Sus scrofa: one gene and its partner. The protein of the gene in region 2 interacts with the protein of the main gene of each other region in a biochemical or structural test. Links are inferred from orthologs where the notes say so. Each region holds a gene or a part of one and is shown on either strand. Other genes may lie near its edges. The genes, in order: TAX1BP3 and ARHGEF16.

Region 1 (14,776 bases), on a different chromosome or scaffold from region 2:
AGGGGACTTTAACACCCTACTTACAGCAATGGACAGATCATCCAGACAGAAAATCAAGAAGGAAACACAGGCCCTAGGTGAAGCATAAGACCAGATGGACTTAACAGATATTTATAGGGCATTCCATCCAAAAGCAGCAGAATACACATTCTTTTCAAATACACAGGGAACATTCTCTAGAATTGATAAGAAAACTGAAATCATATCAAGCATCTTTTCCGACCACAATGCTGTATGACTGGAAACCAACAACAAGAAAAAGAACTGTAAAAAACCCCCACAAACACGTGGAGACTAAACAACATGCTACCAGATAACCAATGGGTCACTGAAGAAATCAAAGAGGAAATTAAAAAATACCTAGAAGCAAATGACAACAAAGACACAACACTCCAAAACCTTTGGGATACAGCAAAAGCAGTTCTAAGAGGGAAGTTTATAGCAATACAAGCCTACCTGAGGAAACAAGAAAAAGGTCAAATAAACAACCTAACTTTACATCTAAAGCAGCTACAGAGAGAACAGGCAAGGTCTAAAGTTAGTAGAAGGAAAGAAATCATAAAGATCAGAGCAGAAACCAATGAAAGAGAAATGAAGAAAACCACAGAAAAGATCAATGAAACGAAAAGCTGGTTCTTTGAAAAGATCAATAAAATTGATAAACTCTTAGCCAGACTTAGCAAGAAAAAAAGAGAGGACTCAAATCAATAAAATGAGAAATGAAAAAGGAGAAGTTACAAAAGACATCACAGAAATACAAAGGATCATAAGAGACTACTATATGCAACTATATGCCAATAAAAATATGGAAAACCTAGAAGAAATGGACAAATTCTTAGAAAAGTACAATCTTCCAAGACTAAATCAAGACAAAATAGAAAAGATGAATGGACCAATCACAAGTACTGAAATTGAAACTGTGATTAAAAAACTTTAAACAAACCAAAGTCCAGGACTAGATGGCTTCACAGGCGAATTCTATCAAACATTTAGAGAAGAGCTAACACCTATCCTTCTGAAACTATTCCAAAAAATTACAAAGGAACACTCCCAAACTCATTCTATGAGGCCACCATCACCCGGATATCAAAACCAGACAAAGATATCACAAAAAAAGAAAACTATGGGCCAATTTCACTGATGAACATAGATGCAGAAATCCTCAACAAAATACTAGCAAACTGAATCCAACAATACATTAAAAGGATTGTACATCATGATCAAGTGGGATTTATCCCAGGGATGCAAGGATTCTTCAATATCTGCAAATCAATCAGTGTGATATACCATATTAACAAACTGAAGAATAAAAACCATATAATCTTCTCAATAGATGCAGAAAAAGCCTTTGACAAAATCCAACACCCATTTCTGATAAAAACCCTTCGAAAGTGAGCATAGAGGGAACCTACCTCAACATAATAAAGGCCATATATGCCAAACTCAGAGCTAACATCATTCTCAGTGGTGAAAAGCTGAAATAATTCCCACTGAGATCAGGAAAAAGACCAGGATGTCTGCTCTTGAGACTACAATTCAACATAGTTTTGGAAGTCCTAGCCACGGCAACCAGAGAAAAGAAGTAAAGGAATCCAAATTGGAAAGGAAGAAGTAAAACTATCACTATTTGCAGATGACATGATATTATACCTAGAAAATCCTAAAGACACTACCAGAAAACTGTTAAGAGCTCAGCAATGAATTTGGCAAAGCCACAGGATACAAAATTAATACACAGAAATCAACCACAACAAAGAAATATACTAAGAATGAAGGATGAGAAAGAGAAATTAGGGAAACGATCCCATTTACCATCACATCAAAAAGAATAAAATACTTAAGAATAAACCTACCTAAAGAAACAAAAGACCCATACTCTGAAAACTGTAAGACACTGATGAAAGAAATCAAGATGACATAAACAGATGGAAAGACATACCATGCACTTGGATTGGAAGAATCAATATTATCAAAATGATTATACTACCTTAAGCAATCTACAGATTCAACATAACCCTTTCAAATTACCAAGGACATTTTTTACAGACTAGAACAAAATATTTTAAAGTTTGTTTGGAAGCACAAAAGACCCAGAATAGCCAGACATCCTGAGAAAGAAAAATGGAGCTGGAGGAATCAGGCTCTCTGACTTCAGACTATACCACAAAGCTACAGTCATCAAAACTATGTGGTGCTGGCACAAAGACAGAAATATAGATCAGTGGAACAGGATAGAAAGCCCAGAATTAAACCCATGCACCTACAGTCAACTAATCTATGACAAAGGAGGCAAGAATATACAATGGAGAAAGACAGCCTGTTCAATAAGTGGTGCTGGGAAAACTGGATAGCCACATGTAAAAGAATGAAATCAGAACACTTCCTAACAACATACACAAAAATAAACTCCAAATGGATTAAAGACCTAAATATAAGACCAGACACTATTAAATTCTTAAGAGGAAAACACAGGCCACTCTCCGACATAAACCACAGCAATATCTTCTCAGATCCACCTCCTAGAGTAATGACAATAAAAACAAAAATAAATAAATGGGACTTAAACTTAAAAGTTTCTGCACAGCAAAGGAAACCCTACAAAAAGACAACCCACGCAACGGGAGAAAATATTTGCAAATGAAGCGACTACCAAGGGATTAATTTCCAAAATTTATCAATATCTTCTGCAGTTCAATACCAAAAAAACAAACAACCCCATCAAAAAATGGGCAGAAGGGAGTTCCCATTGTGGCGCAGTGGAAACACATCCGACTAGGAACCATGAAGTTGTGGGTTCGATCCCTGGACTTGCTCAGTGGTGGCAACAGCTCTGATTAGACCCCTAGCCTGAGAACCTCCATATGCTGTGGGTGCACCCCTAAAAAGACACACACACACACAAAAAGGCAGAAGATCTAAACACACAATTCCCTGAGGAAGACATACAGACGGCCAAAAAAACACATGAAAAGATGTTCCACATCACTAATTATTAGATAAATGCAAATCAAAACCACTATGAGGTACCACCTTACGCTGGCCAGAATGGCCATCATCAAAAAGTCTGCCAACAATAAATGCTGGAGAGGGTGTGGAGAAAAGGGAACTCTATTACACCGTTGGTGGGAATGTAAACTGGTGCAACCACTGTGGAAAAACAGTGTGGAGATTCCTCAGGAAACTAAAAATAGAATTACCATTTGATCCAGCAATCCTACTCCTGGGCATCTATCCAGAGAAAACCATGACTTGAAAAGATACATGTACTCCAATGTTCACTGCAGCACTCTATACAATAGCCAAGACATGGAAACAACCTAAATGTCCATGGACAGAGGAGTGGATAAGATATGGTACACATAAACAATGCATATATACAGCTTTTTTTAGGGCTGCACCCACAGCATATGGAAGTTTCCAAGCTAGGGGTCAAATCAGAGCTACAGCTGCCAGCCTACACCACAGCCACAGCAATGAGGGATCCGAGCTGGGTTTGTGACCCACACCACAGCTCACAGCAACGCAGGATCCTTAACCCACCGAGCAAGGCCAGGGATCAAACCCGAAACCTCATGGATCCTAGTGGGGTTCATTAACCACTGAGCCATGAAGGGAACTCCCACACAATGGAGTATTACTCAGCCATTAAAAGGAAAGAAATAACAGCATTTGCAGCAACATGGATGGACCTAGAAATTATCATGCTAAGTCAGTCAGACAGTGAGACATCAACATCAAATGCTATCACTTACATGTGGAATCTTAAAAAAAAGGACACAATGAACTTCTCTGCAGAACAGATACTGAGTCACAGACTTTGAAAAACTTACGGTTTACAAAGGAGACAGGTTGAAGGTGGGGGGATGCGCTGGGGGTTTGGGATGGAAAGACTATACAATTTGGTTGTGATCGTTGTACAACCATAAATGTAATAAAATTCATTGAGTAATTGAAAAAAAAAGAAACTAAATTAAAAAAAGGAAAAAGATACATGCACCCCTATGTTCAGTGCAGCACTATTCACAATAGCCAAGACACGGAAACAACCTAAAAGTCCATCCACAGATGAGTGGATTAAGAAGACGTGGTACATATATACAATGGACTACTACTCAGCCCTAAAGGAGAACAACAACAACAAAAAATGCCATTTGCAGCAACATGGATGGATCTAGAGACTCTCATACTAAATGAAGTAAATCAGAAGGAGAAAGACAAATACCCCATGACATGGCTTATATCTGGAATCCAATAGAGGGCACAAATGAACATTATCTACAGAAAAGAAACTTATGGACATAGAGAACAGACTTGTGGTTGCCAAGAGGAAAGGGTAGAGTGTGGAAGGGACAGGGAGTTTGGGGTCAGTAGATGTAAACTATTGCATTTGGAATGGATAAGCCATAAGATTCTGCTGGATAGCACAGGGAACTATGATCACTTGTGACTGAACATGATAGACAATAACGTGAGAAAAAGAATGCATATATATATGCAAAACCGGGTCAGTTTGCTGTGCAAGAGAATTAACAGTACATTATAAATCACCTATAAAACAATTCAACAAACAAAACTTTCAAAGGTTTGCTATTAGTATCAAAGCCAAACCATAAGTGAGCAAGACCCTATGAGGCCTTCTCAGGAGGCAATGTCTTCCACCTGCCTCTGTCTGTAGAAAACCTGTGCCTCCTAGCCCTTCCCTGAGTTCTCAAGAATAAATTTAATGAGAAAAGTGAGAAAATACAGAAAGGAAAACAATCAAGCAAAACAAAATAATAATAATAATGACAGCTGAGCCATTAAACAAAGTTAAGGAAAAAAAAAGAGTTCCTGTGGTGGCACGGTGGTTAGTGAATCCGACTAGGAATCATGAGGTTTCGGGTTCAATCCCTGGCCTCGCTAAGTGGTTTAAGGATCTGGTGTTACTGTGAGCTGTGGTGTAGGTTGCAGACACGGCTTGGATCCTGCATTGCTGTGGCTGTGGTGTAGGCTGACAGCTGTAGTTCTGACTGGACCCCTAGCCTGGGAACGTCCATATGCCGCGGGTGTGGCCTTGAAAAGACAAAAGACAAAAAACCCCCCCAAAACCCCAAACAAACAAAAAACCCAAAAAAACAAAAGTTAAGGACCTCTGGCTCCTCCTCAGGGGCTATGGATAACATTCTGAGCCATGTCTTTAAAGCTATTTTACAAATATGAAACCAGGTGGAAGAAATTAACTGTATGCTTGCCCACTAGTATGTAGATCCTAGGCCGGTTCCAATCTGAAGGCTGATGATGCTGACTCCTGGTTACCTCACCAGCAACCAATCACAACAATGTCTACAGCTGGTCATGAACCTGCAACCCTCACCCTGTCTTAAAAAAACCTTTCGCTGAAAGCAATCGGCCATTTGGGCCTTTTGAGCACTAGCTGCCTGGTCCCCTTGTTCACTGCCTGCAAAAACAAACAAAAAACTCTGCACTTTCGTGAACGGTGTTTGTAGAGTCTCTTTATTGCACAGGGTGAGTGGACTCAAGTTTCTTAACAAAACCCCCCACTGGGTCTATCCCAGGGCCTCTTAACTCTAAAGACACAGGCCAAAAGCTATCCTTCCCAATGGCCCTCACATATGTATTTTCTTGCAAGTAACTCCCTCCACACTTGACTGTTAATAAAGTGATCTCAATCGTAATGTTGTTTCTTTAAAGATGCTACCCCCCACCCCCCGGCCCAGCTAGGTCTGGGGCTTCTGTGTACGCTCTTCATAGCACTTACCATAATTTGAATATTTGTGAAAACAAGTATTACTAGTCTTCCCAGTTAAGACTATACATTCCACAAGCAAATGCTCATTACTTAACTCTACTACCATATTTTATTTCTCAATTAAATGTATGCACTTTATTCTAAAATAATCCTCCTGACAAGAAGGGATCATGGATTAACATAGAGACAGAGGCATTTACACTCTAGACAAGCCCAAAGTTTAGCTTAACCATTGTCTGTTTAATCTTCACTAGACACAGTCTAGAAGAAAGAGCTTGAATTTATTTCTCTTTTTTTCTTTTTGGCCACACTCATGGCACGTTGAAGTTCCAGGGCCAGGGATCGAAACCGCACAATAGCAGCCACCTGAGTAGTGATAACGTCAGATCCTTAACTGGCTGCACCACAAAAGAACTTGAATTTACCTCTTTTTTTCCTTTTTTTTTTTTTTTTTTTTTTTCTTTTTAGGGCCACACCTGCAGTATATGGAAGCTCCCAGGCTAGGGGTCAAATCAGAGCTGCAGCTGCCAGCCTACGCCATAGCTACAGTAATGCCAGATCCCAGCCGCACCTGAGATCTACATCACAGCTCATGGCAACGCCAGATTCTTTAACCGAGTGAGGCCAGGGATCGGAACCTGAGTCCTCATGGACACTAGCTGGGTTTGTTACTGCTGAGCTACAATGAGAACTCCCTGAACTTACTTATTTTTTAAATGGAAACAACAGCTAGCTCTGACTTGGTGAAATGGAACTGAAACGACACCACTCACAACTGAAAGGTGTGGTTAGTGGGAGGGAAGACTGGGCTCTGAAAAGATATACTCAAATAATTCAGTACGGGCAATTAAAAGACCTACACTGAAATCCTGGCTCTGCCTTTTCCTAGCTATGCCTCCTATGGTAGAGGTATTTAACTTCTCTGAGCCTCAGATTCATCAGTGGGGGCTAAGAATCAATCTACTGCATAAGAATACTGCTAGAATGAGATTGAGTGTAGGAGTTCCCATTGTGGCTCAGCGGTAACAAACCCAACTAGTATCTACCAGGATGCCTGTTCAATCCCTGGCCTCGCTCAGTGGGTTAAGGATCCAGGCACTGCCATGAGCTGTGGTGCAGGTCAGAGATGCGGATCAGATCCCAAGTTGCTGTGGCTGTGAGGTAGGTCGGCAGCTGCAGCTCTGATTCGACCCCTAGCCTGGCAACTTCCATATGCCACAGGTGCGGCCCTAATAAAAGCAAAAAAAAAAAAAAGAAAAAGAAATGAGTGTGAAAGGTGCGCAGTACAATGCCTGGTATATAGAGCACACTTAATAAGTATTGACTGTTATTAGTTCTCGGGATGTTAATAAGTTCTCTTATTTAGGCCTTAGTGACCCCTCTGCGAATAGCCCATGTGTCAATGCAAGGAAATGAAAGAAAGCTAAGGCGCAGTCAGAGAGCTCTCCCAGAGTCAAAACCCGGCGATTCTGCACCCACAGCGGCGGGAGGGGGGGGGGGACGGGGGGACGGGGACGCGGAGCGCGGCGCTTTAAGGTAGGAAAAAAACTCCACAAAGGGTCTCACGCTTCATTTAATCTGAAGAACAGTACAGGCTCTTCGTCTTCAGATATAAATTATTCATAACGTTACAGAACAAGCAGCGAATCCAACAATTTAAAAACTAGGTAAGTCTACACGCTGTTAATTTCCGGCAACCGTCCTCCCAATCTGCTTTTCAAAAAGAAGTCATCCCTGCCCTCCTTTCAGTAGACGTGCACCATGCCGTAGAGGAATGTCCAGAACAGGACGTAGGTGAAGAGGCCTCCAATGAGACCTCCTGTAAAGAGAGGTCTTCGCGACTTAAAATATTTGTTCCACCTCCTTCCCGCCTTGAGAATTAAGAGCAAAGAGAGCAGGATGGAGGCGAGCAGGTAGAAGATGAAACCGTACAGGCCGGTGAGGCCGAGGATGCCGGCCGTGGCCCCCGACAGCGCCGACACCGAGGTCCGGCAGTAATCCAGGACGGCGGCGTTGCCCCGCACAGCGGCCTCACTGATGAACGGCGGCCCTTCCCGCTTGACCACCACAGCGGCCATCGCACCCACCCGGACTCGGCCTCTGCTTTCTCCCGAAGCAACGCGGGGCTGCGGAGAGAACCACGTTACAAGTAGCGCCCAGAGCCTGGCGAGTTGGGTTCACGCCGCCCCTTTCCCTAGGGCTGCCAAGACTTCGCACCACCTCCCCGCCCCCAGCGTCTCGGACCTTCGAAAAACGCTGAGAAAGCTGAGGGTTCGGGACGGCTGGCCGCATAGCTGCATTTCCCGCCTAGACTCGGCCACTTACCTGGAACGCGGCGGCGGAGGTAGTCACTCGACGTTCCCTCAGACAGCCTAGAGCAGGGACTCCCGCGACGCCATCTTGCGCAGAGGATGCTGGGAAGGCCCAGGCTGCGCACGCGCCAAGGCCTCGCTCCCCGCCCCCCCTCCGCCTCTGGCGCACGCACTGAGGACGCCTCAAGCACGCACCACCCACTTCCCCGCTTTTCTACGCACGCACGGGAACTTCCGAGAGCCGGACAGCGCTCCGGCAGGTGATTCGCTGGAGTCTTGTTAACTATTCATAAGGGGGCGGGCTGGGCCGTGCAGCCTTTGTTAACCAGAGAGGGCGCGGCCACCGGGATTCTCGCTGCAGGCTTCGGGGAGCGGCGCTTGGCTTCCAGATTGGGGTCGAGATGTCCTACATTCCGGGCCAGCCGGTCACCGCCGTGGTGGTGAGTGCGCTCGCTCGGGCTCTTCCTAGTTTTGGCTTGCCCCCACTTTGCAGATAGGTAAATTGATACACCAAACAGGTTGACAAAGCGTCGAACCCGGGACTCCTGCAAACCCGCAGCCAGAGCTCCGGTTCCCGCTCTGCGGGACAGGAGCCGTGGTCTTCCCCAGCCAGGCAAGAGGTGGCTGGGACCCACGAGCTTCCTGAAGACCCGGGATCAAGGCCAGATCCTGCTCGCCGCCGCCGCCGCTCTGGACTCTTCTTACTGAGGGAAAAGGCCCCGGCTGTGGGAGTCTAGGAAGCGTCCCCTTCCCAGGCCTGTGTCCCCAGCTGGGTAGCCGCGGGGGGCGGGCGCCGGATCCAAAGTCCATGAGTCGCAGCCTCTGGAATGAGGAAGTGCTTCCTCCGCTCCAGCCGGCGCCGCCGCCCAAGACTTGCGGGTGGAGGTAGCCGGAGCCTGAGTAACAGTCCTACAACCCCTCCCATCTAGCCTTGCCTTCTCGGACGCACAGTCAGTCGGTCCAGAGTGAAGGCTCATACAACTGACTTGATCCCGCTCCGAACTTTCCCTGGATCCCCAAACAACTCTTGGGGCAAAGCCCAGGTCACCCTCCTGGCACTTGGGGCCTGAGGAGACCCTTCGGGGTCGGCTCAGGCCCCTGGTTGCCCTCTTGGTTCATCTTGGGTGCCAAGTGCTATGAGAATAGGCAGAGAAGTTGGGACATTAGACTCAGACGCCAATGTCACAGCTGGATGGGGCCTGGAGACCCATTCCATGGCTGAGGTGGGGAAATTGAGTCCCAGAGAGATGTCTGGCCATGCCCAGCCATGTAAAGAAGGCTTCAAGAAGGACCCAGATCTCTGAGCAGAAATGCCTGCTGGGCAAGGAATGGGTCAGATGGAAGTCGTAGCCCTAAGGGCCCTGCCACTGGCTGCAGTATCCAGATGGGCGTGTTGGGGACTCCAGCAGCCAGGTGGTGTGACCAGGGAGCCACTGATAAAGCTGCCATGTGAGGGTGAGCTTAGCACACCAGCTCAGGCCTGGACTGCTGACAGCTGTCCTCAGCTTCACCCTGGCTGCACCGGCTTGGCTTTTCCAGCCTTCTAGCTGCCCCAGAGAGAAGGGGTCAGGTTTGCTCTTTAGCTAGAAAAAAGGGAGTGCAGGTGGGGAACCAAAGAGGCAGGAGCCTCCCTGACCTCACCCAGGAGGTCAGTGATGGGGCCTTGTCTCCCAGTCCAGACCTTGGAGATGGGTCAGAGGTGTCCCCAGAGGTGGAGCAGGCCTGGAGGAGCTCACACTCTTACACACGAGGACCTAGGTCCTGCAGGCCTCAGGTGTCATGCTTCCTGCTCCCCTTTCTCACATGTCTCTCCTGGCCCCTGGGCCTTCCTCTAAGTTTTAGGACCATGACCCCCTGGTTCTTCTCTAGGAACATGTTTGAATATGGTGGGTGGGGCCTGGCTTCTCCCTCCTGTGTCCTGGATCCGGGATGGGGTGGAAGAGGCTCCTCCCTACCCCAGGCCCTCTCCCACATACTTAACGCTGTGACAGTGTTAAAACCATTTGGCCTCTTCGCTGAACTCTGGGTCCATAGGTTCGTCCACCTTCTGGACACCTACCTGGACAGCTCTTGGTTCTCCAGCTCAACATGCTCCTTCTCTGGGATCCACATCTGGGAGATGGTTGTGTTCAGCCAGGCGGGGCCAGATGGCTGGCTGGGTGCTCCCCTTGCCGCCTCTGCATGATGGGCCATCCGGAGATGTCCCACCTCTGTGAGACATCTGTTGCCTTACTGCCTGGGTGGTCGTTTCAGCATCAAACCTGACCATGATCTACCGTCAGCCCTACTCCCCAACTCCTGGGAGCTCCAGTGGGTCCAAAATCAAGGTCAGGTGGCCAAACTCCTGGTCAGCCCAAGGCCTGGTACAAACGGCCCCTCCTTCATGAAGCCCCTCAGATCCAGATCAGGTCACATGCAGTTGCCTTTTACTTTGTTTTTTCCTTCTTCCTGTTAAAACTCTCAACTTTGGGGGGTGTGGGGTGGTCATCTGGTCTGGAAGGTGCCTGCTGAGGGCTTTGAAAGGAGCCTGGCACCGTTGGGGTCCACAATCTCACCGTGTGGTGAGGGTGCCCTGGGCCCTGCATCCACCTCCTACACTGCACAATAGCAGGGCCCCGGGGCTTAGGGAGATGTCCTGTCCCTTAGGCTGGTCTCCTGGCCCTGCACTCACCAGTCTAATGCATCTCGCCTCAGCCTTACCTCGCCTCCCGGTTCTGGTCCTGTGCCATACACTCCCGTCTCAAGGAAATGTAGCCACAGCACCTTCGAGCCTCTGCTCCTGTTCTCTTGGCCAGGACAGCTCTTCCTCCCTTCTGTGCAAGTCTGATCCCCGCTGTTCTAAAGCATCTCCTGTCTCACCCTCAACAGGGCTGGCTTAGCAATCTGAGCTGGCCTCAGCAAGGTGCCTACATGTTTTGTTCAGAGCTTGACCCCTCTTGCCCCTGTGTTCCCTCCCCTGGGACAAAGACCCCATCCGGAACAGCCACAGCATCCTGGCTCAAGAGCCAGGAGGGGCTTAGTCTGTGTTAAGAAGGCTGGTACCTGTGACGTAGGAAGCTGGGAGAGGTTAGGGAGAAGGGTTGTGTGGGTGGGTTGGTGTGGCTGAGTTCTGAGCCTTAACCCCCCAGCCTCCCAGGCTGGTGAATAGCTGGCTTCCTGCAGGAGATCCTGGGCCCCACCTCTGTGGCATGGCTCCGAGCCTACCCAGCTGCCTGAGGCTGCTGCTGGAGACACAGGCCACATTCTCTACACCCACTCGCCCCCAACTCGTTTTTTATCTTTGCTAGCAAAGAGTTGAAATTCATAAGCTGCGTCAAGGTGAGAACTTAATCCTGGGCTTCAGCATTGGAGGTGGAATTGACCAGGATCCCTCTCAGAATCCTTTCTCAGAAGATAAGACAGACAAGGTGAGGGGGTCTGGGGACCTCTCCGTGGGGCACAGAGGCCTGAGATGGTGGGTCTCTGCTTCCTGGGCCTTTGTGGAAGGAGCTGACCTCATCTCTCGCAAGCAGTCCTCTTTAAAAAGGTCCAAGACATGATCTGGTGGGAGTGAGGAGGGGTGGGGTGGGGAGAGGGCCTGCCAGCCCTCCCAGTACTAGGAAGCCTGCTCAGACAGAGGCTGGAGCGTCTGTGGGGCTGCCCCGCTGCCCCCTTGGCTGTCTTGGCACAGCCTGTGCTGGGGGGTGCTGGCTGTGGACACATGGACAGCTAAGAGTATGCCATGCTGGGCTTTGCTCTATGGATAAGAGGCCGGTCCTGTGACCCCAGTGCTTGACTTGGGGGGCCTATTTTTCAGGGCATTTATGTCACGCGGGTATCTGAAGGAGGCCCAGCGGAAATTGCCGGGCTGCAGATCGGGGACAAGATCATGCAGGTAACAGACATCCCAAAGGAGGAAAACAAGGCTTGGGCCAGAGGGTTTAAAGCACGTGGGGTGCGTTTGGGGGTGTGGGGCTGCCCCTGCCTGCCTCCCCGGGCACCTGGGAGACTCACCAAAGCCGCTCCGGAGCCTATGCTGGCATAGCCCTCTTTCCTGTGTGTGGTGGCGCTTGGTGTCCCCAGATCTGGGGCGTCAGCTTGGGTGACTCAGTTCCCCCCACAGCCCGTCCTGCTTGCAGATCCCAGAGGGCGGCGAGCTGAGGGGGCTGCATTCTCTCCCTGGGCCAGGTGAACGGCTGGGACATGACCATGGTCACGCACGACCAGGCCCGGAAGCGGCTCACCAAGCGCTCGGAGGAGGTGGTGCGGCTGCTGGTGACGCGGCAGTCGCTGCAGAAGGCGGTGCAGCAGTCCATGCTGTCCTAGCAGCTGCCAAGGTCCCTGCCGCACGCCTGCCCGCCTCTGTGCAGTGACACCACCTCCACGCTCTGTCTGTCCCTTGTCCTGGCTTCTGATGGCTGGGCCCCGACTCGGAGCGGCAAGAGCTGGTCCCAGGGGCCTGACCCAGCCTTCCTTCTCTCCCACCACGGGCCCGAGCTCTTTCCCTTGGACACAGGATTAGCAACGAGGGCCTGGAGCCCAGTTTGAATCAGTCTATGATGACCACAGACTCAGCCCCCAAACCCTGCTGCTTGGCCACAACCGTGCCCAGGCGAGGAGCCCTCCCACCCCCCACTACTTGAGGGCACCACACCGCTGGGAAACTCAGGGGCATGGTCCTGCCCCTGCCCCGTGTCTCAGCCCTACAGTGCCTGTGCCCCGTGCCCTGTGCCCCACACCCCCTGCCACGTTCCCCAGTGAGGACCGACTCACACTGCCAGAGACACTACCAAGGTTTGCCCGGACAGAAGCCAGGCAGGCTCACTGCTCACCCATCGCACCCCAACCAAGGGGCGCTGGCCTCCCTGGGGTTCACCTGCTTACAGGATTTAGATGAGGTTCGAGGCTGACATTTCAGGGCAGTTCTCAGGATTGCCATTTTCCTCTATGCCCGTGGGTTTAACTTTTGTATTTTTTTAGTCACAACTTTGATACAAAGCGTTTTTATCTTACTCTTTGGAGATGCCAGTTCAACTTTTGAATTTAGCTTACTAATTCATATCTGGGAACTACATTTAATAAGGGAACCAGCCTTACTTCGGTTACTGTGGAAATGGGGCAGCAAGAAGCTGCCCCCCATATTGTGCCCAATAAACAGTACTGGATTCACCAGGGGTCTTTGCTGAGACTTGGGGTAGGCTTATTCGGGGGTGAACTGTGACAGCTTTGGCTGTAAGGCTGGCTGACCTGGCCTCCACCGCTCTGAACAAAGCCCACCTACTCCCCAGCCTGCGGATGCTACGCTTGGCCAGGGCCACCCCCGTGGGAAAGTCTGGGAGTCCCTTCCCCGGGACTGGGCTCCCCAACTTCCCTTGTGTAGCCTAGCTTCAGCCTCCATGGCCGGGCTCGGGGGGAATCACGGTCACCAAGGTGATGGGAAAACACCCACCTCCTAAGACTCTGAAGAGCACTCAGTTTACCACAGTGAAGGGTACGGTCCTAAATGTTCCCAGAGACTGGAGCTGACAAGATGGGGGTACGCTGGGGAGCACGGGGGCCTCTGCCTGGCCCAGCATTGGCTGCTTTACCGCCTGGCGGTTGTGACTACTCAGGGACCCACCTAGCACCGCCACGTCAGATTTGTGCACATCTCCCATCTATAAAGTGTGGTACCTGGTCACACACTGGGCAGCCCCAATGAAACAGGTGTGTGGGCTTGGTCAGGCTGCAGTCTCTGCTTCAGGCAAACGGGATCCTCAATTCTTTGGTACTTATTACACCCGGATCAAGGCAGAAACTGGAAGACACCTTTCCCTGCCAGCCGCATGCCCTTCAAGACCTCAGCCAACCTGTGCTCACAACCACAGCCTGACTGCTGAGCCCCGGGTACTACAGATGGGGTACCTGTGGGACCTACCTGGCCCTGCGCAGGTAGGTGTCTTGTGCCACCCAACAGGGCTCCCCTGATGAAGTGCTGGGTCGGCATGCCACCGTCTCTGGATCCGCGAACTTGGCGACCTCATGCATTTCCTGACAGGGAGTGACCGAGGCCGTCTCCCTAAGTGCCACGGACTTGGTTCTGAAGTCAACATACCTGCCTCCTGCATCTGGCACATGCTCAGTGTGCAGAGGAAATAAATCAGGTTTAATTAATTAAGGACAGATGTCCCTCATGCTGATATCGTGGTAAACAAATCTGAGAGCAGACTGACAAGCTCGACGCGTGTACAAGGCACATCCTGGGCCCCTCCCCTCCCCCACTGCCACAGGAAGGACAACTACTTGGGTTGGGAAAGGAGAGGCTTTAGGATCAGGCTGGGCCCACGAAGATTGTATGGGGTGGTCTCAAGTCCTTATCTGAGGCTCCTAAACAGCCATAAATTGGGGAGTCTCAGGTGAGGGAGAGGGGCCTGCCCTTCCCCTCAAGGGAGCTACTCACCACCCGGCAGGTCTGCAGGCCTCTAAGGCACAGACTGGTGTGTGTGTGTCCTGCATCCCACACTCAGGGTAAGGAGCAGGTCAGGGGCTCACATGGGGCCCGACCAGGAGAAAGTGGAGGTAGCAGAAGGCAGAAGAAGCTAAGCCATCACTTCCATTCCATCCCTCTGGAAAGTCCAACGGGGGTTGTTCGTGTGATAAGGATCCAGAGTGTTGGATGGGAGTCTGGTTCCGAACAGATCTGTTGGGCACCTCAAGGCTTGAAAACACTGTTTCTTTACCCGAGCCTGGCCTGGCA
Region 2 (14,776 bases):
AACATTCAAGGAGCAGCGTTGTAGACTGTTTGTATACGTACATAGGAAAAGAGCAACAACATGCTTGAGACGGATAAAGACCAAGTTCACAGACATGGTTTCCTCTGGGAAGGAAGGTGGGGGTGATGGGGGAGGGCCTGGGGGAGGGGCTTCCGTCTTACCTCCAATGATTTATAGACCCTGGAGGCTTGTTTAACTGCCATTCAGGACATCTACAGGCAACGAAAGAGAAGCCGTTCTACTTCTTCCTTTACAAAATATATGTCTTTTATTGCTTTTTCTTGCCTTATTGCACTGGCCGGGGGCAGCATTAAATAGAAGCGGTGAAAGTGGACATCTTTGCTTCATTCCAGAGCTCAAGGGGGAAGTCTGTTTTGACCATCAGGTACGATGTCAGGTGAAAATCACCATGAGATAAAGATACTCTTTGCCAGCATCCTTCCTCCTATGCTTGTATCGCTGAGATTTTTATTAAGTATGTGATTGGGTTTTATCTTCAACATATCAGTATTTATCTTCAAGTGATATTACGCCCCTTTATGTGAAATACACAAACTTCACCACGGTATATTTCTGTGCTCCCCTCTCTTTTTTTTTTTTTTTTTGCTATTTATTATATTTTACTTCTGCACATGTGGAAAAATCCACAAAGCACCAACATTATTTCTGCTTTAAACCGTCCTTAAAAAGAACCTATTTAAAACACATAGGAAAAAAAAAAAGGTCTGTCATATCTATCACATATTTACACTTTCCAATGGGCTTCTATTCCTTGTGTAGACATGAATTTACATCTCCTATCATTTTCCTTTGGCCCCAAAAATCTCCTTTGACATTTCTGGTAGTGCAGCTCTGTTGCTGATGAATTCTCCCAGATTTGTCTTAAAATGTCTTGAAACATGCTTTTGCTAGAAGTGGACATCTTACCTGACAGCTTTGTTCCTTTCATCAATTTAAAGAATCTTGCCGGTGCTCTCAGCTTGCAGGGTTTCTGATGATGAATCAGCAGTTATTCCTGTCTTCATTCTCAAGATTTTCTACCCCTCGTTTTCAGCCATTTGCTGTGTGTCCTAATGTGTTTTTCTTTGTATTCATGCTGCGTTTAGTTCATTGAAGATCTTGGATCTGTGGGCTTGCGTTTTTGATCCCATTAGGGACATTAATGGCCATTATTTTTTTTAAACAAATGTTCTCCCCCTCACACATCTGGGCTTCTGATTATGCATGTGGTTAGACTTCTATTCTCTTTCAGATAGGCAAGGCTCTGTTCATTTTTCCCAGGTTTTTCTCTCTCTGTGCTTCTGTCTGGATAATTCATGTTGTCCTGTCTTCAAGTTCACTGAGCTTTCCTTCCATAGCATCTAATCTGTTGTTCATCACACCCAGTACATTTAAAATTTTTCATATCTTGTATATTTTTTCTTCAGAACTTTCATTTGATTCAGCATTACGCTTTCTCTTTTGATCATATTCATTATACATTATACCTCCTCTTTTGATTATGTTCATGGCTCCTTGTATATCCTTAGAATAGTGGTAATAACTGTTTTAAATGCCTTATCTGCTAATTCTGTCATCTATGTCATTCCTGGATCTCTTTCTATTGGCTGCCTTTTCTCCTGGTTATAGGTCCCAAGGTCCTGCTTCCTCACATGCCTCATAATGTTTAATTGGGAGCCAGAGGCTGTAAATGCTACATTGTTGAGAACTTAGGTTTTGCTGGCCTTCTTTTAAGAATCCTGAGTTTCATCCTGACAGGTAGTTAACTGACTTAGAGGTCAGCCTGGTCTTTTCAAGGCTTATTTCAAAGCTCTGTCAGGTCAGGTGCAGAACAGCCTTCACCCTGGGTGTAGCTTACCTTACACCTAATACCTGGCTTTCTCTGATCTCCATCCAGTGCCTTGAGGTCCATAAGGCCTCTTCATCCTGGTGGTTGGCTTCCAAGTGTCTCCTGACCCATGTGGAGGCTGGGAGCTCTCCTTCGCTGGCTTCCTGGGATCTCACTCTGCACACACACAGCATAGCTTTCGAGCAGACACAGGCTGCCCCACAATGGTTTAGGGAGGTCCTTCTCTGCATCACAGCCTCCTCTCCAGGGATCTGTGCACACCTCCCAGTCCCCTCAGCCTCCCTGAACCCCAACTCTGTCCCCTCAGTTCAGTGAGGCCACTGTGTTCTGCCTCATTCTGCCTCCTAGAAGAAACCTGAGCAGGTGTGGGGCTCACCTCATGGGCTCCTTTTCCCAGGAACCATAATTTTCTGCTCTCTGCTCTCCAGAGTCTAAAACCATTGCTTCCTGTAGTTTTTTGTCCAATTATCTACTGATTATGGTGGGAGCTGCAACATCACCACCAAAATGTCTGCAATGTTTTTTGTTTGTTTTTGTTTGTGTCTTTTTAGGACAACATGTGTGGCATATGGAGGTTCCCAGGCTAGTGGTCTAATCGGAGCTGTAGCCACTGGCCACAGCCACAGCAACACCAGATCCAAGCCACATCTGTGACCTACACCACAGCTCATGGCAATGTGGGATCCTTAACCCACTGATCAAGGCCAGGGATCAAACCCGTGTCCTCATGGATACTAGTCAGATGCATTGCTGCTGAGCCACGGCAGGAACTCCTAATGTTTTAAATTCTCAACTGAAACCAGATACATGCATTTTAAAAAATTATTTACTTCTCTGGAAGTCTGAAACAGTATCTAACTATTAGAGGGGGCCTGGGGCTTGGAGTCAGGCAGACCTTGGCTCCCATCTTGGCCCAGCCACTCACTAGCCAGTGACAAAGCACACACACCTCCCCCCTCAACTACATGGGGGTGAGGACATCGCCACCAGGGAGTTGCTGTAAAAATTTAGTCAGGTGCCGCATGGGGCCTGGCACACAGTAGGTGCTTAATAGGAGGTGACAACAATTTGCTCTTGAGAGGACAAGGAGGAGTGACCCTGGGCTCCTGCTCAGCAAGGCCACCCCCATCGGCCGGAGAGGCAGTCAGGCCCCCCTCGGCACCCCGTCCCCCACGCCACCCCCACACCCATCTGCAAACCCCACCCACCCTGGGCCTCCAGTCTCCCAGCACAGAGGAGCCTCTGTGCTCAGGCCCACTCACAGCCACCAGCCACCGCATCATTTGAGGTCAACGAGACCTTTCCAGCTGCCCGCAGGCTGGACCGGGCACCCGTGGGCCCTGCAGTGAGTGATAGGTCAGCCGGATGCCAGAGCCAGAGAAGAAAGGAGCCTTGTGCCCCTTCCCCCACCCCCACGTTGCTTGCAGCCCAAGGAGGGGAGGGTGGGCAGCGGGCACGGCCCATGTGGCCCTGCTAGCCTTGCTCATCCTTGGCCCCAGGAACCTGGGATGGTAAGATCAAAAGGCCTCCTGGGGGCTGCTGGCCTCAGGACACTGCCTCTCCAGGCTGCAGCTCCAGCAGCTGAGCAAAAGTTGGCAAGACTCAGAGTGAGACCTCCGGGATGCCCGGGAGCCTCAAGAATGAGACTTCTACCGATAAGCCCAGACTTCTTTGTAGGAAATCCCAAGTGCCATGGGGTCACTGAAGTTGTCGGGACCCCATGGGGGCCAGTCCTCATTTCAGGAGTTCCTGGCAGGCAGTAGAGGCTGACCCTACCCTTGTGGGGGCGGGGAGCCGCCGAGTGCAGGCTCCACCCACAGGCCCCGGTGCCAGGAACTAAGGCCACTTCCAGCCCGGCCCAGGCCCCAGCCCACAGTGGGGCAGTGGGGTCCCCGCCAAGGTTCTCATGGGGCAGAGGCAAGGAGAAGACCCAGGCCACTCTCGCAAGGCCTCCGCCCTTATTTCCCCCCCAGCCCTTGGAAGCCGGACAAGCAGGATGAACGCTGCCTGGCTGCACAGGTCAAGGGCAGCCTCCTCCAGGCCCGCCAGACGGTGCTCCCCCAGACCACGCGAGAGGGGCCCCGGCCTATAGGCGAGGGCGTGCTGGCCGCCTGGCACCTGCAGTCTGTCGCCCTCATCATGGGGCATGGAGAGAGAACTGCAGACACAAGCAGGCAAAGCAGGAGGCTCGGAGAGGCAGGGGAGCCCTAAAGAAAGACTGCGGGAGGGGGAACGACTCCCGGGGCCGCAGCAACAAACGACCACACAGTGGGGTTGAACACAACGGAGCACAGCTTCTCCCGGCCCTGAGCCAGACGCAAGGCCAAGGTGCTCCCGCTGAAGGCTCCAGGGCAGATCCTTTGTGCCTCTCTGGCATCTGGGGGCTGCTGGCACTCCTCGCTCACAGACACGTCCCTCCAGCCTCTGTCTCGATCCACCTCGGACCTCCTCCCTTCTGTCTGTACCCAGATGGCCCTCTTTTTGTAAGGGCACCTGCCAGTGGATTTAGGGCCTGGCCTAATCTGGTAGGATCTTGTCGTAATTACTTCTGGAAGGACCCAGCTCCAAGTAAGGGCGCATCCCAGCAGCATCCGGCTCCCTGCGAGGGGACCCAGCCGCCAGGAGGCCCGTGGCAGGGCAGGAGGGGCCCAGGCACCGTCCAGGGGGCAGTGTGTTCTGTACTGACCTGGCCCACATGCCCTCTGTCCAAGACACAAGGGTGCGAGTCCTGCAGGCTTACTGCACTGGCAGCTGAGAGCAAGGAGGGTGGTGACAGCAGCCCTGGTCCTTCTGTCCATGCTGGTCCCTTATAATTCACTCAAGCTGTGTCCTTCCAGCCAACAGCCCTGATCACAGGTCATCATCAAACCTCCATTTTAGAGCTGAGACAACATAGACCCAGACAGGTCAAGCCACTTGCTCCGGGTCACCCGTCCCCAATCACAGGCTGAGCCTGCCGAGCCAAGGACATGGCCCTTCGAAGCCCCAGCTTGGAGGTAGAACCAGCCCCCATGGGCTGGAGGGGCCAGAATAGGCAGGCGCTGGATGGCCAGGGCAAGTGGGGATTAACCCTGCAGTGGAAGTCACTGAGTGGGAGTCAGAACCCCCAGGGCCTGGGTCTCCCCTGCGGCTCCCTCTTGCAGTCTGAGCCCTGTGGGTGTAGTACCAACAATGACCTCTGGAGGGCAGCAGGTGCCCAGCTTTCCCCCAGAGCTGCCCTGAAGCGGTCCATCCACCCCGGGGGGCCACAGGGCCCAGGCTTCTGCCCACCAAGGTCACCCACCCCCCACACACAGAAGGGATGGATGGCCCTGGTGGGCACCTTTCTGTGGCCAGCCTGGGCCCTGCCCAGGTGGCTCTTGCGCACTGGTGGGCTTTATCCCACTTCCGGCAGCCAGGCCCCCGCCTCAGGGCAGACCCTGGGGGGTGGGGGCAGCAATGGGGGCGGGACTGGGAAGGCCGAAGGCATGCCTGGCAGGGTTGCCCTTCCAGCACGACATCTAAGGAAAACGCCAGGCCAGCCTGCAGCAGCCCCTTGCCCTGTACAGACAGCAAGTTCCCAAGGCCACAGCCCTGGGGGGGCGGGCCCCAGGAGAGGGCGGGCCCACGCCCCAGGCTAGACGGTGTCCTGCCAGCTGGCATGTCCCCACACGCTGCCTACTGCACCACCGCCTGGGGTCAGCGAAGGGACAGTGCTGGGCTGGAAGCCCAAATGCACCGCCCAGCAAGGGGTGCACACGGAATCACACCGCTGGCATAACTGGCACGAGCCATCCCTGAAAGGGGGACCTGAAGGCAGGTGGGAAACAGGCTGGCACCTCCAGGGCTGTGCCCTGGGATCTCGGGCCGCACCTGAGTCACCAGGCCCTCGCCAAACACCTGCTGTATTCAGGGCCCTGGGATGGCCATATAAGAGCTGTAGCGGGAAGCAGCTGTATTAGCAGAGGTATGGCATCCAGAAGAAAGGTGAGGGGTTGAAATAGGAGGGGTTTCGGTCCACTTTGAAGCACCTGGGGGAATAAGCCAGGATGACGAATGATCTGGATTCCGGGTCATCAGTAAGGACAGGTGATAAGAAGTGGATAACAGGGCCAATCTAATCATGGGTCTTGGGAGGTAGTGAGCTCCCCATCCTGGAGGTATCCAAGCAGAGGCAGGATGTCAGCTGCCTTGGTCTGGGTTGGGGGTCAAGGTATCTGTTTTGGCCCCTCCCCCAACACCCTCTTCCACTGCCAGAGGGCTCCTTCCACCAGATCTGATCACGTTGAATCTTTGCTTGAACCCTGAGTGGCTGTGGTTTTGTCTGTCTCCCGCTGCGGTGAGCTCGCTGAGGGCAGAGACCACGTCGCAGAGCTCGGGGCTGCATCTCCGACGCCTACACAGTCGTCAGCCCACAGCAGTGGCTCGGTAAACCCCCAAGAGTAAAGGAGGCAGGAAAGCAGCAGGAGGCGGCAGCAGCGCCCAGACTAGAATTCAGGGCTGCAGTGGGGAGAGCTGGGGAGCCAGGCAGAACCGCCCCCCTGGGGACGGCCGGCCCCACGGTGGGAGGTTGTGGTGGGCGCCCGCCAAGGGCTGTTCCGGAGTGGCGAGTGGCGCAGCCTCCAGTGAGGGCCTCGGAGGCCAAGCCCACTCAGCCGTGGGTCACATGGGTGCTGACCAGCCAGGTGGGGACAGTGACGCAGCCAGCACGGCCAGGTACCTGGGGCACGCCCAGCCGTTCCCTCCGCCCAGCCCGGGCCCTGCCCACCTGGCCGCCCACCTGGTGGGGCGGGACCGAGCCATCACCTCCCGCAGGGCCGCACAGGAAGTGGGAGGGCGGGGACAAGGAGGGACCAAGTGCCGGGATAGAGGCCAGGCCCGGAACGGCGCCCGGCCAGGGCGCGGAGCTTGGAGGCTGGAGCGGCCCCACATCGCCGCTGTGCTTGTTGCTCCTTCCTCCACCCCAGCGCGCAGGTAAGCCTGGGGGACAGGTGAGGGGGGAACAAGTGAGGCTGGGGGACAGGCGAGGGGGAACAGGTAAGCCTGGGAAGGGACGGGTGAGCCTTGGGGAAGGGGCTGGCCACCCCAAGGGCACATTTCCTCCCCTCACTTTTCCTGCTGGCCCCGCGCCGGGGGCCACGACAGTTTCCAGCTCCCTCCCTCCCTCCGCAGCGGCTGGACCTGGAGCCCCTGACCCCACCCCCTTCTGTCCTCTGAGCCCTGGGGGAAAGGGGCGCTTCCAGCCCCCAGGGGAGCTCTGCAGCTGGAGCTCCCACTGAGGCTTCTGCACTGTGAGACCTTCCAAAGCCCCAAAAAGGCAGTGGGGGGTGAGGTGGGGTCCCCGGCGGGGGGGTCCCCTAGAAACAACCTCCCAGCAGCTGAAGAATCTGCTGCCAAACTGCTTGGACCCCAAGAAAGTGGAGCCTTCTCCCCACCTGCGAGAGCCGGCCCTCCCCACCCTGGAGGGCGGACCCAGCAGCGGGAGGTCCCAGGCTGCCTCCTGCGAAGGAGGGAGGGGAGGGGGGTTAGGCTCCCGAAGGGCAGGGCTGGACGGACGCCTGCCTTAGCTGCCCAACCTCTGCTTCTGCACCTGGGAAGCAAGGGTCCCTTTAGAGCTGGGAGTGGACCTCAACCCAACATCGGCCGGGCTGCCAGGAGGGAGTCTACAGGGAACTCTGCATCCAACAGCCCTCTGTCCTGGGGGTGAGGGGGCTGCACCTCCTGGCGTCGGGATTTGGGGACACTGGCCAACGAGGCCAGGCTACGCAGGGCCTGCTGGGGAGAGCACGAGCACCCCAACCCTGTCTACCCAGCATCCCGAGGTCAGGACCCCAGGTCCAAATCCCCACTCCTTGTGACCTAGACTGAGGCTTCTAGGCCTCAGTTTCCAGCTCTGTGAAGTGGGGGTGCTTAGAGGGTGCTGATTCAGCTGCAGCCCTGCCGATGCCCGCGGGCTGCGGAGGAGAGTCTGTGAGGGGCAGGCAGTGGGCACCGCCCGCAGAGCCCCCACACCCACCCCGCCTGGACACCTGCAGGGAGGAGCTATGGGGGGGTCCTTGTTCCTCAAGGGCTCTGGTCCCCAGGGGGCGTCTCTGAGCCCACACAGGAGGAAACTGGGTGCAGAGGTAAGTGGCGCGAAGCAGCTTGACAGGCCCTGAGATGCCAGGCTGCGTGTCACGGGCACAGCCCCTCCCTTCGTCTGGGTCCCGGAAATTTAGTTTCGGTTTCTGAATGGATCTCACCGCTTTGCCTCCTCTGCCCACGCCAGTGACCGCGCGCGCTTAGGGACCCGCCGCAGCAGCAGCACCTTTTTTCCTGAGAGTCACCCCCGGCCCCTGGCCCGATGGGGCAGTGATCTGGGTCAGGCCGGGGGCCTGGCTCCCTGCCCGGCTCTCTGCTGACCTGCAGCCTGACCCAGCAGGTCACATTCCCCCCACACCTGGTTTCCTCACCCGGCAGAGGGGGAGAATACCCCCCCAGAAGCTCGGCCGGGACAGAAAACAGGGGGGCAGGGAGGCGTTTGGAGGCTCCCCATGGGTCAGCTGATTTCTGACCGAGTCGGGGCTCTGATTGCTCATCTGGGGCTTCTTTGGGGAAACACCATGGGTGCCAGCCTGGTACTGCAGCTGGGTTGGGGCATCTGGACTCAGAGACAGGAGTGGGAGCTGGGGGTGGGCCTATCTGGGGGGCACTGGGGGCCGAGCCGGGAAGGTGGCCTCTGTGATGACAGCCCTGCCTGGGTGCCAAGAGACTTCTGCTCGGGGTGGGAGGGGCCCAGGGCAGGCCACCGTCCCTCCCCTCTGCCAGGCTGTGTCCGGGGCTGAGGGCGGCCAGGTGGGTTTTCTGGCCTTGACGTGGCGGGTGAGTCCAGGTAGCCAAGCTGAGGTTTCCCCACCTGAGCCCTGCAGACGTTTGATCTATGACCCCCTGCGGGCATCCTGGGCGCTGCTGTAAGTTCTGAGCAGCCTCCCAGGGCTCTGCCCACAAGAGGCAGCACAGCTGCGACCACCAAGAATGTCCCCAGGCACTGCTGAGCATCCCCGGGGACCAAGCCACTCCGGTTGAGAGCCCCCCGCTGCCCCCGGCCACCTTGCAGGTGAAACTGTTTGCTGTGCACTTCACAAAGCCAAATCCTGCCCCAAATTCCATGTGACTCCGTGTTTCGAACTTTTGACCCGACAGAATTATCCAAGCACAGGGCACCATGGCGGGTCAGATCTGCCTTGGCAAAGGTGGGGTCGTGGGCTCAGTGCCGGAGGCCAAGCCCCATGGGCAGGGTCGCGTCAGCCGGACCTAGAGACAGACGCCCCAAGGATGGAGGTGCTGTGGTTACCTCACCCGAGTGGCGGCAGGTCCCATACTCAGGGCACTTAGGGTCCTGGTGGCTGTGAGAGCCACAGGCTCAGGCCGGGAGAATCGTGCTTCTTCGGAGGGGGGCCGGCGGCACTGAGCCTACTGGGGTCCCTGGAAGCCCATCTGAGGCTCTGGGCTGCTGTGCTGCCGGGCTGCCAGGGGCCCTTGGAGCCAGGCCATCCTGAAACCAGCACTGGGCCAGGTGCAGCTTAGGACCAGACAGGCCGAGTTGGTCACCAGAGGCTGCCAGAGACCTCCCTGCCTCCACCTGCTGACCCCCAGGCCACTGCTCCTCCCCCCGGAGTCCCACGTGCCCCTTCCCTGGCCTGCACGTGTGCCCACAACGCCAGGACAGGCTGCTTAGTGGCAAAGGAAAGAGCTCGTGCCGGGCTTCCCCCACTCAACCCAAGGGGCCCTCCCCAGCCCACCCTGAGCAGAGGCAGCTGGACGCTCCCAGAAGGTGGTGGACACTGGTCTGGAGCCCCTGAGGCTCTGCCCTGGAGGATTCTGCTCGCTTGGAGCCGAGTACCGTGTGGGTTAGAGGCACGGAATGCCAGGGCCTCTTCAGGAAACCGCTCCAGAAGTGGAGAGCCGGTGCCCATGACAGCAGCCTTCCCTGTGGGAACTGAGCCCCACTGCTTGTGGGGACATGAGCAGGAAGCTGCCCAGCTCCTGAAGGACACACAGACTCAGAGAGACACGGACAGACTGCTGCTATGGGCGTCTGGGGAGGTTTGCAGGTGAGGGGGGGAGAGCAGACTTGCCTCTGTGGCTCAAGTGCTCCCTGCATGGGGTCTGGCCTCTCTCGGCGACATCGATGCCCAGAGAGCACAGCCAGCACTGAATCTGTGCCCTCGGACCTCCCCTGCCCTGCCTGCAGGACACCAGGCATAGGCCAGCGTCCAGCGAGGACACTGAAAGGGACACGTCTGAGCCCCTCTGCTGGAGGAGAAGCCACCAGACACAGACTGGTGGGGAGTCCCAAAAAGCCTGCCAGGCAGAAGCGTGTGCTCACGTGTGTGTGCTCAGAGGGCACACCAGCCTCCTGCCAGCACACACCTGTCTCCTAAACCGAAGGCTATAGCTGGCCGGCACCACCAGGCGTTTGAGGAAAGCCTGGGGCCCGGGATGGAGCTGAGAAGAAGGAGGAAAATCGTGTGCAGAGGAGCTGGGCCAGGAACAGAAAGAAACCCGTTCAAGAGAAAATGGAATCAGAACCCCTGACACTGAACAGGGATGTGGCATCCACGGCATCCATGAAATAAGAACAGGCTGCTGCGAATAAAGACTAGGAGAGTGCTCCTTGTAAGATGGTGCAAAGAGCTATAACGTCAGTGGAAAGGAAGACAACTCCCACCGCGGACAGGAGGGAGGAGAGACAACAGCAAGGATGTGTGGGTCGGCTCAGCGGTTTCAGTGCTCGGTAACAGCTCTTCCAGAAATAGGCCAGAGCAAACAGAGGTGAGAGAAATTCTCAGAGAAATAGCCACGGAGGAGTTCCCATCATGGTGCAGCGGAAATGAATCCGACTAGGAACCAGGAGGTTGCGGGTTCGATCCCTGGCCTCGCTCGGTGGGGTAAGGATCCGGCATTGCCGTGAGCTGTGGTGCAGGTCGCAGACGCGGCTCGGATCCTGCGTGGCTGTGGCTGTGGTGTAGACCGGTGGCTACAGCTCCCATTCAACCCCTAGCCTGGGAACCTCCATATGCCATGGGTGCGGCCCTAAAAAGACAAAAACCAAAAACAAACAAACAAAAAAGAAACAGCAGTGGGAAACCTCCGAACCTAAAACAGGTTGGGAGAGGGCACGAGCTCGGGGAGTGGACACGGATCCGCCGCCGTCAGCCCGTCCCCGTGGGCGTCAGTGCCCGCGGGTCAATCGGGGCGCACCCACCCTCTGCGGGCCGAGCTGGGGTGAGCCAGTCGAGAGCCGAGGAGGCGAGTGGGGCCAGCGCCGATGTCTCACCAGCACTGAAAGCCAGGAGGCAAGAGAAGCGGGCTTCTCCATCCGGAAGAAAATCATTTCTGATGGGACTCTAAACGCAGCCCATCCCCGCAGAGAGAAAGGCAGAAAGAAGGCATTTTCAGAGAAAGACCCCCCTCCCTCTCGAAGCTGGGGGTGGGGAGAGGAGAGGACCAGGATGCAGGGAGGGGGACAGGGGGCCGAGCTCCAGCCCCCAAAGCAGGGAAGGGAGGGCCCGGGGAGAGAGGCCAGGGTCTCTGGGTAAACAGACTGATGCTTGACCCTCTAGAGCGTGCCATCCTGATGCCCAGAGCAGGGGTGCTGGGACACACGGGGGAGAAGGAGTAACAGGAGGAAAGGCAGCCGGTAAATAAGAGGGAATTATTAACAAGAGGGAGGCAGCCGGGCTGCGCTAACGCAAACACCCACGGGCCATGGCTGTGCCGGCCAGGCCTTGTCCACGGGGCCAGAGAGGCAGGCCTGCGGCCGGGACATGGCCAAGTGGCGGGCTGGGCCTTGTTTGGAAATGGAGGGAAGGCCGCGGAGTGGGGCAGGGAGGCATGGAGAGGACGCCTGTCTTTGATGATAAGGCTCTAGGCGGTATTTGACCTTTGAACCTATGCCCTGGTAGGTAGCTCAGGGATAAACCAAAGCCTTGGAGGAAGAAGCCAGTGGCCCTGAGATGCCTTAACTCCAGGAGCCCGGGGCCTGGAGCTCTGGCAGAGCGGGGCAGCTGCCCACGCCCCTGGCACGGTGCCCCTCTCCTCCAGGCCTGGTCCTGGCTGGTGGCGCCCGAGGCCTGAGGGTGTGGCTGTCGTGCTTGGAACGGAGCTCACGCCCGGCCACGGCTGGCTGGACAGGATCCGTCTGGCACGTTCTGGCTCCTGAGCAGACTTTGCCCTCTCCTGGGAGTGGCCCTGCCACTGGCGGGGTCTGGGGCCCCAGAGGAGGTGGGGGAGGAAGACCAGCGTGGGGGCGGGGTGGGCGGGGGTCACGGGTGCCGCAGTCCCTGTGTGGGCCCCTCAGTGCCACCTGGACATTAGAACGCGGGAAATACCCTGCGGCTCAGAAAGAAGGACTCAGGGGCTGGACGTCTCCAGGATGCCCATCTGGGTCATCTTGCTTTGGCGTGCAAACAGGAGAACCTGCAATGAGCCCCTTTCTTGGCCAGGCCTGCATGACCTGCAGGTTAAGGCTGGGCGGGCGATGCGGGCTGGGGCAGACCCGCCCTCAGCTGCCGGCTCCCCAGGAGGCCCCAGGGTGGCTGCTGCTGTCCTCGTCCTCGGCCTGGTGACTCAGAATGTCCCCAGGAATGCGTGGGCCGTCCTCCCGTGTGGGGGTGGCCAGGGCTCCAGGCCAGCCCCGCCCTGCTGGCCTGGAGGCAGAGCCGCACACACCTTCCTGGGATGGTCTGAGCCGAGAACCCGTGAGCTGGGATGGCAGAGCGGGGCGGGCAGGCAGCCAGGCTTCCGGGTGCCCCTGCCCAGGTCGCTTCTACTGTGCCGGGATTTAGGCCGCCCCGTGCAGCCAACTCTGCCTGGGCTCCCGTCCGAGGGGTCCCTGGAGCTTGGAACCTCCCAGTGGGAGAGGAACCCAGAGGCAAGGCTGCGCGTGTGAGGTGGGCTCGGGCTGGGACCTGCGGGCAGGCTCTGGAACAAACGCTGGTCCCCTGGCAGTACCCACCCTCCCAGGCCTGGCCACCCCTGCTGCGTGCCCCCATGGAGGAGAGGGCGGTCACACCTCCTCCCCCAGAGCGGTGGCGAACTCTGAGCCGAGGCTCCCGTCCCCGCTAGGCCCCTGGTGACCTGGAGCCTCCGCTCTTCCACCTGAAAAATGGGCCTCCACCCTCACCCAGCCCTTAGGATTATAGCGTTCACAGGTTCTGCGTGGGTGAGGAGCGTCTGAACGCTGGGTCTCCTTGTTTCTACTCTAAGATGAGAGGAAAGTTCTGGGAGCGAGTTCTCTCCAGGTTACGACACTTTAATCCTGCAAAGTTCTCCCCTTGTCGCTGCTCCTCTGGAGGCTCCTAGATGGCCATCTATTCAGCACCGGCTTGGTCACCACGACACCGTGGCCCCTCGGCTGCCAGGCCCCCTTCATGCACTCTGCCTGTGAGCTCACCCCCCTGCAGGAGGTGGGGGATTATCACTGTGCCCATTTTACAGATTTTGAAACCAAGGCACAGAGAGCAGCAGGGGAAGCAATGGTGGTGACGGGAGAGCAGACCCTCAGCGTGGACTGGTCAGTGGCCAGAGGCTAGTGCCCACGAAGCCCAGGGTGTGACAGGTAGTGGTGACAGGCTGCCAGCCAGGATGCGCCAGCTTGTGCTGCAGCGATAAATAGCGACACCAGGTGCTTAGAGACCCTGGGTCCAGAGGGCTCGTCCCAGTCACTCGGGGCGTCCCAGGTGGGGGCTCCATCCCCACGCACTCCTGCAGCACCCCACAGGGAAAGGCATGGGGGGGCACATGCAGTGGCCTCTGAGGTTTCTGCCCCGGAGGGTCACACGTCCTTGCGCTCGGCCCTGCCTATGCAGGAAGGATGAAAGCGGGAAATGCTGGTGGACACACGCAGGACAGGCCGCATCACTTCACACGGGGCTGCCTGCTGCTGTGGGGGCTGCTAGGCCGGCCGGGGCTGGAGGGCGGGCGGTGGGTGAGACTGGAGAGGGTGGAGGGGTCCGGATGGGAGCAAGCTGCCGGGAGGTGCTGGCTGGCCCATCCGAGGGGCACAGAGGGATGGGCAGACCTCGGGGGGGGCGGTCACAGGCTGTAGAGATAGGCATGCAGCGGCAGCGTGCACTGGGCCTCGGGCTCAGGGTCAGAGCCGAGCTCTCCAAATGCCCCCCTCCCTCGCTGGTTACCCGCATAGGCAGTGACTGCTCTGCAAGACCTGAGACGACGGTTGACCGTTCGTAGGAAGTGTGGGGAAATGGGGACATGTCGTGGACACACAGGAAAGCAGTGTAGACAGCCGGCCATCCCTGCTGCCTCTGTGCGCAGCAGCTCTGAGTCAGGGATCAGAGCCTGGTTCCAAGCCCTCATGTGCTGCGTCTCCAGGGGGCCAGCCCCTGGCCTCTGCATGAGGATGCAGCAGCCCATGTCTCTTGGGTTGGGAGGGAAAAGCAGCTCAGCCAGCCCAGGAGCCCAGCCCTGCCTGCCCTGGTTGCTGGGGTCAGGCCAGGGCAGGGACGCAGCCAGGCTGTCTGACGCAGGCCTCAGGCAAGTCCAGCTGGTGGCACTCTTCATTGTCCTCACGGTCAACAGCTGATTCCAGTCCAGGCCTGTGGGGTCCCAGGTCCACGCACCCCACGCTGCCCCACCCTTACAGCCCCCGCAGCAGGGGAGCAGGGGGGCCTCACGGGCCGTCTCTGTGCCGGCTGCTCCCAGCTGGTCCCCAGAGCTCAGACGCCCCGTCCTCAGGCCCAGTCCTGGCAGCCCGGGTCCCTGAAAGCCCAAGACCTGCTCTGACCTTCCCGGGGAGTCCCAGGGACCGCGGGCAATGCGACGGCCCGCTCTGCTCCAGGCTGCGAAACCAGCCTTTGGGCACTGTGCCCTGGCCACCGTATCTCGGGCTCTGGCTGCAGGAGCGCCCCTCACTTCTCCCCCTCCCCAGGACCTGCAGCCACTCAG

What was found.
Region 1: the proteins of ARHGEF16 (region 2) and TAX1BP3 form a complex in vitro, tested with the Homo sapiens proteins (2 studies listed by BioGRID and IntAct, with this or other methods). The link is inferred for Sus scrofa from reciprocal best matches to the Homo sapiens genes ARHGEF16 and TAX1BP3.

What each region holds. Positions count from the first base shown.
Region 1 is NC_010454.4:49,752,598-49,767,373, reverse strand, and holds TAX1BP3 (tax1-binding protein 3), read left to right. Parts: upstream 1-8,347; 5' UTR 8,348-8,462; coding exon 8,463-8,501; intron 8,502-11,348; coding exon 11,349-11,468; intron 11,469-11,857; coding exon 11,858-11,935; intron 11,936-12,228; coding exon 12,229-12,366; 3' UTR 12,367-13,212; downstream 13,213-14,776. Other genes in the region: EMC6 (ER membrane protein complex subunit 6), read right to left, coding at 7,495-7,827. UniProt on the Homo sapiens protein: May regulate a number of protein-protein interactions by competing for PDZ domain binding sites. Binds CTNNB1 and may thereby act as an inhibitor of the Wnt signaling pathway. Competes with LIN7A for KCNJ4 binding, and thereby promotes KCNJ4 internalization.
Region 2 is NC_010448.4:65,020,087-65,034,862, forward strand, and holds the start of ARHGEF16 (rho guanine nucleotide exchange factor 16), read left to right. Parts: upstream 1-6,864; 5' UTR 6,865-7,872; coding exon 7,873-7,953; intron 7,954-14,759; coding exon 14,760-14,776. UniProt on the Homo sapiens protein: Guanyl-nucleotide exchange factor of the RHOG GTPase stimulating the exchange of RHOG-associated GDP for GTP. May play a role in chemotactic cell migration by mediating the activation of RAC1 by EPHA2.